Daphnia pulex: one gene and its partner. The protein of the gene in region 2 binds, or shares a complex with, the protein of the main gene of each other region. Links are inferred from orthologs where the notes say so. Each region holds a gene or a part of one and is shown on either strand. Other genes may lie near its edges.

Region 1 (5,925 bases), on a different chromosome or scaffold from region 2:
TTATGGCAAGGAAAATGCATAAAGTCGTCAAGTCTGCCAATGAATTCAAAAGCCGATCCTGGTATCAAAAGTCATTATATTATTTCGTATTGCTACTAACATGGTTTTTTTTAAATACTACCGAACCTTGAATTCGAATTCTCTGATTGCAACTTTGCGTCTCTCTTGCATACAACCGTGTAAAAGAGCTGCACAAAATGTCGGTAAAGGTAAGTCGTGGCGGAGAGCGCGAACCACTTCACGTAATAGTGCTCTAAAAACATATAACATTAATTATACCCAGTCCACGTCTGTGAATTGCAAATGCAAAATACCTGAGTGCCCGAAGGTAATCGTCACGATTGAGTAGAAGTTCCATAAAAACGTCCGCTAAAATTGTGGCAGCACGATCAGGCCACGGTTGGACCAAAACAGCCAGTACTGCCATGTTATTCGGTCCTCGAGAAGGGGAGAGCTCATTGAATATTAACAACCGCACAATGAGTGGAAGCTGGTCCACCTGCTGCTCGACCAATTCTTTAAAACAAGTTAGATATGTCTGGAGCAGCGGTTTACTCTGAAAATCAAAAGAAGAAAGTATTACTATTTTTGTTCTGAAATTAAAACAAAAACATTGACGTTATTACTACCTTTAATCTCAAACGTAGAAGAGCATTTAGAACATCTGTGTCTGTAGGAGCTTCGGTACTGCAATTGACGCAGATCGAGAGGAGGAGGTCGGTGGCTGGTCTCACAAGTTTTTGATTGGAAAGCCACATTTCCAATCGCTGGGCAGCTTGAGTTCTTACAGCGGGCAAACCAGCTGTTGATGTCAAAAACTTTAAGAAGTTCCTTGTAGTGAGGTCAGATGCCGGTTGCTGCCGTCTGAGAAACCATTGATTATATTACCCTAACCTTAATGCAACTCAAATATTTTAATACCTGCTTAAATGTTGATTTACTATTTCCATGACAAGTGCTTCTGCCATGTCTTTGAGATGTTGAAATCGAGGAATAACTCGAACCTAAGAAAAAGGTAACAATGAAAATACAACTATGTGCATAATTTAAATCCCACTTGTTACCTGTTGCTGATCGAGATGAGTTGAACCTCGAAGCAGCCCACCCTGACTGTTATCTGAATCCACGCTGGCATCATCTTCAAGACCAGTGGTGCCAAGAGAAGTTATACTAGGAGAACTAGCAGCACCAGAAGATCCAAGTCCAGTGCCAGTAGCACTTTCTTGTTGAAGGATGTTCCTTGAAGGGACTTTGGTGTTGAATGCCGTTAGGATATTCTCGACAAACCCTTGACATTCTTCGCGATCTACCCAAACTCGTTCTCCAACGGAATCTTCGACAAAAACTTTCAAGAAAGATTCTGGCCATTCCGTTGAATCTTCTAGACCGGCTAACAACAAATTGCAAGCCAGTGAAGCTGCAGAAGCAGTTGTCCTTCCTTTAAAAGGACCAATACTGGCGGTAACGTCTCGTTTGAGTAATACCAATAAAGCTTCAACAATCAATTCGGTGTTGAAATATTGCGATCTCCATTTAGCTAAGTAGACAAGGGCTAGTGCAAGAATGGGTTCCACTTTATTCCGTTGACTCAGACTAAAGGCTTTCAGTTGCTTAACTGATCCACATAGGATTGCTTCAATTCTTTCTTCATCATCATTACTTTCAGCCTCTCCAATAGCATTCAACAACTCTGATGCTTCAATCTTGAATAAATTTTTATAAAGAAACATTATTTAAAGATAAATTGATAAAATCCAGAAGATTGAGTAACTCTACCTCTATAGCAGCTTCTTCCCATGGCTCTAGTCTGTTACCAGTCGAACCTGGACTGGGAGGATCAGCAGCCTTCAAAGCAGGTCTTCCCAATGCAGTAAAGGATGCAGTATTTGGGAGCCCAGGCTTTGCTTTCTTAGCTGGATTTTGAGATGAACCTGGCAGCTGGCTTGGTGCTTCCCGCTTTTTATCTGAAGGACCTACACAGTCATGAAACATATCATTCTTTAAGGCTAATGTACAGACTGAAAGAATAAATAATAATAGTAGCTGAACCGAGTTAAAAGAGATTGTTAAACAGGAATGTGGATAAGTTTAAAATTTTATAATCCATGTTCAAACTTAATTTATAAAAGGATATGATAAGCAAGTTATTGGTCAGGGTCAGGACCAGGGAAAGAAAGAATGGAAATAGAAATATTTTTGTTCTCATTTTACCCAAAGAAGGAAGTGGAGCAGGAGTGGGTTTTGATGGACCACCTGAAGAAGATCCTGATTTCTTTGCATCAACTGGTTCTGCTCGACTTTGCTTTGGTCCAAGAGCAATAAAATCACCAGAGAATCCAAGGGGTTTTGACTTGGAGTTTTTAGGCGGCAAATTCTTGCCCCGATCCATTATAACTACCGTCCAGCATTAACACCTCTTCGAAACTGATTTTGTTTTTGGTTGAGCCGAGTCTGCGAGTGTCTTCTGCAAGAAAGCGTGGTTGCATTTCTGTTTGTAAAGCGAATCGCATACGACATTTTCCTCCCCCCCCCCTCAACACGTCGTCTGCAGCAAATTGGCATATAATTAGTGATAGAGGCATCAAGCTTGTTGTGAAAACACATTCGTTAAGAAAAATGGAAGACGACGATGAAGTTGATGTTCTAGGGGATTTCTGTCTAAATCTTGAGTATGTACAAGCTTTTGTTTGCATGTTATTTGTACTAACTGACATTTGATCACAGGACGGATTTGAACCAATACGATGCCGGGGAGTTTCCTACACAGAATTCGGAATTATTGGGCGATTATATGCAACATCCTTGGCTTCTTGAAAGTTCACAAGTAAATTTTTATTCAAAGTGGTTTATATTTGGGTACAGCAAGATCTAACTTTCTCACAGGTTTGGAATATGCCAATGATGGATCATGCCAATGAAGATAAGAACAAAACACTTAATTGGGAGAATATGCTCCATGAAGAGAAAAAACACTTTTCAAACAGTTTACCCATGGCAAACCCTCCATCAACCACAACATCTGCTGTAGTTGCTTCAAAAGTGAGTCCTATGTGGACTAAAGATGATGTTGCATCTCTTCGTAAAGGAATTGTAAGTGTCGGAGTGGTTACTGATTATGGCAGGACTGTGTAACTTACTTGATACTTTTATTAAAGGGTCTACACAATCAAAATTGGAGCAAGGTTGCTAGAGCAGTTGGAACCAAGACTACTCTTCAAGTGAAAAGTTACATTAAATCACATCCAGAACTTATTACAAGTTCCTCAGTTCACATTTCCAATACCCCATCACCTCCTCAGTTCATCAATGAAGTGGAAGTTACAAACGAAGAACCAACCTTTCACTTTTCTATGGGTGACATTGTTTATGAAGCAGAAGTCCCTGCTGTATCCACAGAAGAAGTAATTGCTAGTGTGGCACCTACCAAGTGGGACTTGACTCCGACAAAAAATAGCAAAAAGACGAACCGTTCAAAACCAAAATCTCCTACAAAAGAAATAAGGTATGACAAATATTTAAACAATAACTGCCATTGATTCAATATAGATATTTTTAAAATTCTTTCTTTAGGCGGGTAAAAAATCCACTCTTAGTTAAGAAAGCGCCTGGAAGACCTAGGAAAATTTCAAAAGACTTATCCGTCCCCCAATTAACAAATTGTAATATAATAATTGATGATGCCACACTTACAAAGAAACCGGTTCCCATTCTTCAAGGAGAAATTATTCGATTACAAAGAACAAGTGAACTAGTAGATTCTAGCGATTCCGAAGTTGATATTGATTGCAGTGACGATGAAGAGGAACGTACAGCCAACAAACCTCCAACCATTTTAAAAGAAACCCTAAAATTACAGTCATCTTCTGATGATTCTTCTGTTCCAATTAAAAACGAAATTCAAGAAGCTGAAATCATAGAAACTCTGGCACCACCACTACCACAGCCGTCTGAGCCATCAACAAAATACGCACAAGAAGATAAAAGTGAATGTGAATCTTCTGAGACTGATTCCAAGAACCCAGATGTTGGATTAATGGACGCTGAACCCCCGCAGCCCGTCTTCACGTTTCCAGCTCCCCTAGAAGAGCGAACCGTTGCATTTACTATTATCACAGATGAGGAAAAGACGATTCATTGGGATTTCTTTGAGGGTCGTCCCAGTAAAACACCGGAAAGGTACATGAAGATTCGTAACAGCATTGTTCAAGAGTGGCGCAGAGTAAAACCACGTTACCTCACGAAAACATCCGTTCGTCCTTCCCTCAAAAACTGCGGAGATGTTAATTGTATCAGCCGAGTGCACGCTTACTTGGAATTGACAGGGGCCATAAACTTTGGATGTGGTATGCTTTTCTATCTTTGATATTTCTACACAGTTCATTTAACATTTTTATTCGTTCAAATCCTACAGATCAGGTACAATACAACCGTCCGTTGCCACCAGTGCCCTGCCATCGAGAGAGAATGGCGAACAGCAGTACTCATTTTGTGAACAACCTTCCTCTCATTTCCGGACTACCAGCAAGGGTCAGGAAGAAGAGACCCCATCATGAAAATGGAGACGAGAATGGCGGGTACACAATCAGCCACGACGGCTCTCAAGGGAGCTCATTCATTTCGAATTCAGGATCTACTAGTCCACAAAAACAAAAACCGAAAAAAAGAACAAAACCACAACTTGAGGAGAAATCTCCTTTTCAGTTAGTTCCATGTCTAAATTTCGGTGGCGAGAAAGAGGTATCTCTTTGTTATTTGAATGAAATTATTATGGTTTAATTGGAAAATGTTTCTCTTTGTTAAAGGCACCTTTCAGCGTACAACTTTCGGTGGAAGCGCTTGTAGTTATTGACCTCCATTCTCATACTTGCACAACAGAAATTATTGGCTTACTTGGAGGCCACATCTATCCGGGATCGGATAAGTCTCCGGCTACGTTATCCATCGAAGCCGCCCAACCGTGTCGAAGTCAGGCAACTAACCATCAATGTGAAATGTGTCCTAGTAAGATTGTTTTGTTTTTTCTGCTGATCAAATCACACTTCATAAAAACTGAACTGTGTAATTTCTGCTATTACAGTTTCACAAACAGAAGGCAGTGAGGAGTTACGATCTCGCGGTCTTGAAATTGTAGGCTGGTATCACTCTCATCCGACATTCCCTGCCCTCCCTTCTTTACGCGATTTAAATACTCAGGTGAGCATAGAGTGTATGTCGTCATGTCTTTGATTACACATTCTATATTTGTAATGTTTGCTTTTAGAACGAATTCCAGCAATGGTTTTCCCGGCAAGATGCGCCTTTCGTCGGCCTAATTGTTAACCCCTTTTCTTCTTCTGGGATCAAAACATCCATGTCTCTCAAATCGACAATTCGGTAAGTAGTTTCTAGTTGCGTTTAAAGTAGACTCAAAGCTAACAATCAATTGCAACACATTCGAGTATAGATGCATCACCGTTCATGACGATTTACCGTATAAACATGAGCTACCGGTATTCGATTGCGGGGCAAATGAATTGAACAAAGTTCGAATAACACTTGATGTTTTGGAGACCAACCTAGATCTGTGTCCAACTTTGGTCCCCCTCAACAGCAAGTATCCTTACCTTCCAACGCGTTCCGAAGACGGGATTTTGAATTACGCTAAAAAAGTGAGTTGCTAAACCGTAAATTTTTTAGTTTGTTATCAGTTGTAATACTTACTAATGGATATTTTTCTGCAGGCTCTGTCTAGTATAAGAGCACACTTGGAGAACGTAGTTACAGGGTCACTTATGAATGACATCGAGGAACTAGCTGAAGGATTCCTGAATCGATTAATAGCACGTCATGCCAGTCGTGTAATCGTCTCCCCTGTTTTTACGAGTACCCTACCTTGCAGCGACTCCAATTAATTTATCAGTACAGGTTTACTGATTATGATTGAAT
Region 2 (5,699 bases):
CGTTCGGTTCCACCAAAAAACCAAATCCAGAATGAAGAGAAAAAGAGAATCTGTGTGTCAAGTGTTGAGTGTTTTAAGAAGATATACAATAACCGAAATGATTTGGTTACTACATAAACCCACCACCTCCCTCTCACTCTTGTTACGACCCTCACCCTAAAAGACACCGTTCTCCAAAATTTTTGTTTTTCCCTCTCAACTTTTCTCTTTTCGGGTGTCAAATCCTGGTAAGAAAAGAATTAATGGAATGTTTCTCCTTTTTTTTTTATTTACTCAAAGATTACATGTAAAGGTTTGGAAGTTAAATAAACCAGATGTTTTGATCTTTCAAATTGATTTTTGTATTTTTCTCTCAACACCTGTTTTTGTTGGAAATAAGAGAAGAACTTTAATAAAATTGTACAAACCGCGGGAAGTTTTTTTCTCTAATCTTTTTTATTAGTTTACAAAGATGGCTAATATTTCTTTATATAATCATCAAACCACACCTAATTTGATTGCCCTGGGTTGGTTATAAGTTTTCAAACTTTGCCGACCATCTCCTTCATCAATGTTGTGCCCAACTGAGCTGGACTTCGAGTAACAACAACACCAGCCTGTCAAGTTACAAATTTAGAAGTTTTAACATATCTACTCTTGGCGTTAAATTTTGTTAACTTACTCGTTCAAGAGCCATAATCTTATCTTGAGCACCGCCTTTGCCACCAGAAATAATGGCACCAGCGTGACCCATGCGTCGGCCGGGAGGAGCTGTCAAGCCAGCAATAAATGACACTACTGGTTTCCTGTTGTCACCCTGCAAAAATAGAATAAAATTGTGTAAGGAATTCGTTCATTTGGGAGTAAACAGATCGTAAGTATACCGAATTGTGTTGAGTCAGGTACTCGGCAGCTCGTTCTTCAGCTCCACCACCAATCTCGCCGATAAGAATAATTCCCTTGGTTTCTGGGTCATTAAGAAACACTTCCAAACAGTCAATGAAATTGGTGCCGTTGAAAGGATCACCACCAATACCAACGCAGAGAGTTTGACCTAGACCCACCTGTGAGTTGAACGAGACAAGTCCATTAGTAACAAACAATTGGATGAATAGGAAAATGGTGCAATTTACCTGAGTAGTTTGATGAACAGCCTCGTAGGTCAAAGTGCCTGAACGTGAAACGATGCCAACACATCCTTGTTGGTGGATGTGACCAGGCATGATACCAATCTTGCACTAAAGTTTGGTTGTTAATAAATAGTTGTAGCATAAGTTTAGTGTATGAAACAAGGTTAACAGATATATTACCTTGCCAGGAGCAATAATTCCAGGACAATTGGGACCAATCAAACGGGACTTGTTTTGCCTCATAAGGCGATGCTTGACCTTAACCATGTCTTGTTGGGGGATGCCTTCTGTGATGCAGACAATTAAAGGAATTTCAGCATCCATGGCCTCCATGATTGCTTTTGCTGCTCCAGGAGGAGGCACATAGATGACTGTAGCATCTGGTTGCACTGCTTCTTTAGCCTGTTTAGATTTAAAACTTTTAGCCATTTTATAATTTGTTGGAATGAAGGATTGAGATTTACTTCTAGAACGGTGTTGAAAACGGGTACACCAAGATGGATTTTGCCTCCCTTTCCTGGGGAAACTCCACCAACCATGTTGGTACCATAGTCAATGGCCTGCTTGCTGTGAAAGGTTCCTTGTTTTCCCGTGAATCCCTGGCAAAGGACTCGGGTTGATTTGGTCAATTTCATTTGATGTCTAGTTGACGAATAGCACCACCTGACACCGACATTTGGTGGCCTCACAGATACTATAATGACAATAATGGTTTAGAATGAAATGAACCATAGACACATACCTTAAAAATAATCAACCAAACATTTAAAATCAAAATATTTAATTACCCAAGAAAGGGGATAAAACTCGAGCAGCAGCGGCCATGTTTCGTGAATTTTGGTGTGGGATCACAGTCAACACAAGTTTAGTAATGAAAGCAACATTGTAAATTTTTTAATGAAAATACCACATTTTACATTAGTAATTAATTATACACTTTTATTTCAGTTTATTTAAAACTGAATTCTTTATTAATTTAATAATAATTTGAGTTTTTTCAACAAAAAATAGTTTGAACGATCGGATTTGACAAAATGGCAACGTCTAGCTCGCTTTCAAACTCTCAAACCTAACTGGCTTTTTGCTTTCTGCTGCCGGAACTCCCTCCTAATTTTACTCTCAGTCACCTCGATTAGATGACCGTTGCATAAAGTGCGCCATAGTCTTTGTTCGATTTTAATTAAAATTGCAAGGGTAGTGCTCAGATTATGAGCGAAGTGAAACGCAGAGAAATGAGAGATAAAAATCAAAATATCCAAGTCTTCGTCCGAATTCGGTAAGGGCGTTTATTTTTCTAACTGTCTTTTTGCAACTCAACATAACGTTATTTTTTTTGTGGAAATTTCCTAGGCCTGTTAGCTCGCAAGAGAAAGCAGCCCGTTCACCCATTGTGGTTGAAACTCAAGCTGGCAACAATAAAGAAGTGCAGGTGGTTGAGAAGAGTTCGCTTACAAAATCTTTCAGCTTTGATCGGGTCTTTGGGAGCAATTCAAAGCAAGTGGATGTCTATAAAGTTGTTGCCGCTCCATTGGTGGACGAAGTGCTGGCAGGCTATAACTGCACTGTATTTGCATATGGGCAGACGGGGACAGGCAAAACTTTCACCATGGAGGGTGAAAGGCATGACGAATTGTCATCTTCATGGGAAAATGTAAGTTTTTCGAAAACAGAACTTGTTCATGGTTAAGACTTTGTTTTTAATTTTGGTTTGTTAACTCTTTTAGGACCCTTATTCTGGAATCATTCCTAGAACGCTGTCACATCTGTTTGATGAATTGAGGATTCAAGAAGTTGAGTGTACAGTTCGTGTTTCATTTATTGAAATTTATAATGAAGACATCTACGATTTGCTGTCTGGAACTGATGACACTACCAAACTTCGGTGAGTCATTCATTACATTATTTTAACAATTTTGTGACCGTTTAGTAAAAACACATTTGTCTTTCAATTTGTTAAAGCTTGTATGATGACACAACCAAGAAGGGCTCAGTCATTATCCAAGGCATGGAGGAGGTAACTGTGCACAACAAAAATGAAGTGAGTTTTTCCTGATTTCTATTGTCTTCCATTCCAACATTTTAAGGCTGCGTTAAGTCCTTTGTTTACCATCTCTTATTTCATGGTTATTTATCTTACAGGTTTACAGTATTTTGGCTAAAGGCTCGCTCAAGCGTCAAACAGCAGCCACGCTAATGAATGCCCATTCGAGTCGCTCGCATACCATCTTCTCCATCACTGTTCACATCAAGGAGAACACCGACGACGGCGAGGAGCTTATGAAGATTGGCAAACTGAACCTGGTCGATTTGGCCGGGAGTGAGAACATTGGTCGTTCTGGGGCCGTTGAACGCCGAGCTCGTGAAGCTGGCAATATCAATCAATCGTTGCTGACACTTGGTCGTGTTATCACTTCCCTCGTCGAGCGTGCTCCACACATCCCATACAGGTATATAATTTAAACGAAATGATTCAACCGCGCCCAACAGCCACAAAAATGGATGCGTCATTCAACGCGTTAATAACGTTAAAATGGAAATGTTTCTCTCTTCTCTTGGAATCATTTAGAGAATCGAAACTGACACGCTTGCTTCAGGACTCTCTGGGCGGCCGAACTAAAACGTCTATCATCGCTACCATCTCGCCAGCGGCCGCCAACCTGGAGGAGACTCTATCAACCCTCGACTACGCCCACCGAGCCAAGAACATCACCAACCGACCCGAGGTCAATCAGAAGCTCACGAAAAAGGCCCTACTCAAGGTAATCATCGCATACTTGAGAGTGCGCGGAATCCTATCAGCTTTCTCCTCCGCCCTCATCTGACTTGTCTCGAAATATCCTGGCCGGTGTTAACGACCTATCCCACACTACTTACTGCCGCTGCTTGGCTTGACTAATGACAGGGCCTTTCCACACACGCAACCATTTGTATTTAAAGTTGGTGGTGGTGGTGGATGTTATTAGGAGTCCGTCTAGAGCAGTTTAGGTATCGTCCCTTACCAAAAGAGAGAGAAAAGACCACACAATCAAATGCTGAGTCATTCCTATTTTCCCTTCGAGATTCCAAAGTTATTTTTTCTCACTGGAAGGAACCGAATAGGAAGAAAATCGATTTTTTTGTTTTTCTTTTGGGGTTCCTGGGATGGGTCTGCATGGGGTGTTTATGGGAGAAGGAGGAGGAGGAGAAGTCGGGACAGATAGTCGGTCCCGCCCGCGGGTAAAAGGTGGAGTGTCTACAGAGGAAAGGTGGGGTATTCTTAGGCCAGAAAGGGCACGCGGACCGACTGACTGTGCGTCTGTTGTTGGCACTTGTTTTTAACAAGGAGGGAGAAATAGTTGAAAAGTCCCCCCAACCTCCTCCCACCCATTAAGCTCCTAAAAAAGTTAAACCGTCCGAGCAGAGTCGGTTGGAGAGTTGGAGATATTATTTTTCAATTTGCGTGGTGGACCGGCGGGGGGTATGGGGGGGGTTATGGACCTATTACTTGCAAAAACTTTTCGTGCCAATTTTGGGGCTCCTGATTCGCTCTCCTCTCTCTCTCTGGATGTTTAAAAAAAGATTGTTTTGTAGTTTTGTTTGCTGTTTTTCGTCGAAAGAGTTTGTTGGAGTCCCGAGGATTAGACTGGGCACACGTCAGTGGAGAGACCTCCGCCCCTGTCAAGGTTACAATGCAAATTAGCCGCGATATAAATACCCTTTTTGTCTTGCTGTGAGGGAGTGAGTCTGTGTGTGTGTGTGTGGACGTCGTGTGTGTGTGTTGTGAGTAGGCCGTTCGGGTCGTGTGGTGTCTGGTGGGGATTTTAGTTTTGTTTTTGTTTTTGAACTTGGCGCTTAAAAAATTGAGATGTATCCATCTCTTTTTATTTCTTTTCGATGGGCGTGTGTGATTAAGTTCCTTATTTGACTGGTTTATTCTTGTGTACACTATCGCCGTTTAAATTATCAGGGATATTTAAGGGACTTTTTTAATATTTTTTTTCTCTATCTCACTCTCTCGGGGCGGTCCCTTTTTTGTTTTTTTAACTTGTAGCTCCTTTTTTAACAAGAGGGTGGAGGGGGGATTAACTAACTGTTGAGGGGCTAGAACTTTGGGATCCTTTCCAGCCCGTGATGGATTGAAATTTGTCCGAGGGCCAGGTGCTGCGCTGCGCTTTTTTCTATTTTTTTTCTCCCTTGTGCGTCTTTTTGATGATCTTTCAATCTTGGCACATTCTTCGACCGAGATAAAAAGTGGAGAAAGAAGAAAAAATGGACGTTTGAATTGGAAATGAAAGGCAAGGATTTTTTTCTTTCGCTCGCCAAGCTGCTAAAAGGCGATGATTAAACGATCGGTTGTTTGACTAACTCTTGAAAAGATGAATGGGGATCGGTGATCGGGGAACGAGGTGGGCCTAAAGGTATTTTGACTGTCCCAAGTATTTATTTGATTGGTTAGGAGAAACGAGGGGAGAGAAAATAAAATAAAAGTTTTTCTTGGACGAATGCCTATCGTCGTACTACACATTACTCGTGCCTAGTCTAATTTTGTGTGAGTTGTCGTCCGCACCGGGGGTATAGACGAGAGGAGATGGGGGGTTCGGATTGTTGTTT

Evidence for each region. Proteins that work in one complex are often made in the same cells at the same time.
Region 1: kinesin-like protein Klp61F (region 2) and histone H2A deubiquitinase MYSM1-like share a complex: the UniProt entries of both Homo sapiens proteins name them as parts of the large chromatin remodeling complex. The link is inferred for Daphnia pulex from reciprocal best matches to the Homo sapiens genes KIF11 and MYSM1.

What each region holds. Positions count from the first base shown.
Region 1 is NC_060019.1:12,572,090-12,578,014, forward strand, and holds the start of histone H2A deubiquitinase MYSM1-like, read left to right. Parts: upstream 1-2,487; 5' UTR 2,488-2,616; coding exon 2,617-2,669; intron 2,670-2,724; coding exon 2,725-2,824; intron 2,825-2,883; coding exon 2,884-3,090; intron 3,091-3,155; coding exon 3,156-3,502; intron 3,503-3,570; coding exon 3,571-4,343; intron 4,344-4,411; coding exon 4,412-4,737; intron 4,738-4,802; coding exon 4,803-5,001; intron 5,002-5,077; coding exon 5,078-5,193; intron 5,194-5,260; coding exon 5,261-5,373; intron 5,374-5,443; coding exon 5,444-5,648; intron 5,649-5,720; coding exon 5,721-5,891; 3' UTR 5,892-5,925. Other genes in the region: integrator complex subunit 1-like, read right to left, coding at 1-58, 127-253, 315-556, 630-864, 922-1,004, 1,065-1,703, 1,777-1,973, 2,212-2,389. UniProt on the Homo sapiens protein: Metalloprotease with deubiquitinase activity that plays important regulator roles in hematopoietic stem cell function, blood cell production and immune response.
Region 2 is NC_060023.1:1,595,513-1,601,211, forward strand, and holds the start of kinesin-like protein Klp61F, read left to right. Parts: upstream 1-2,239; 5' UTR 2,240-2,317; coding exon 2,318-2,385; intron 2,386-2,459; coding exon 2,460-2,760; intron 2,761-2,833; coding exon 2,834-2,991; intron 2,992-3,068; coding exon 3,069-3,147; intron 3,148-3,248; coding exon 3,249-3,556; intron 3,557-3,675; coding exon 3,676-3,868; intron 3,869-5,699. Other genes in the region: succinate--CoA ligase [ADP/GDP-forming] subunit alpha, mitochondrial-like, read right to left, coding at 522-596, 662-796, 864-1,043, 1,113-1,217, 1,290-1,511, 1,574-1,803, 1,898-1,934. UniProt on the Homo sapiens protein: Motor protein required for establishing a bipolar spindle and thus contributing to chromosome congression during mitosis. Required in non-mitotic cells for transport of secretory proteins from the Golgi complex to the cell surface.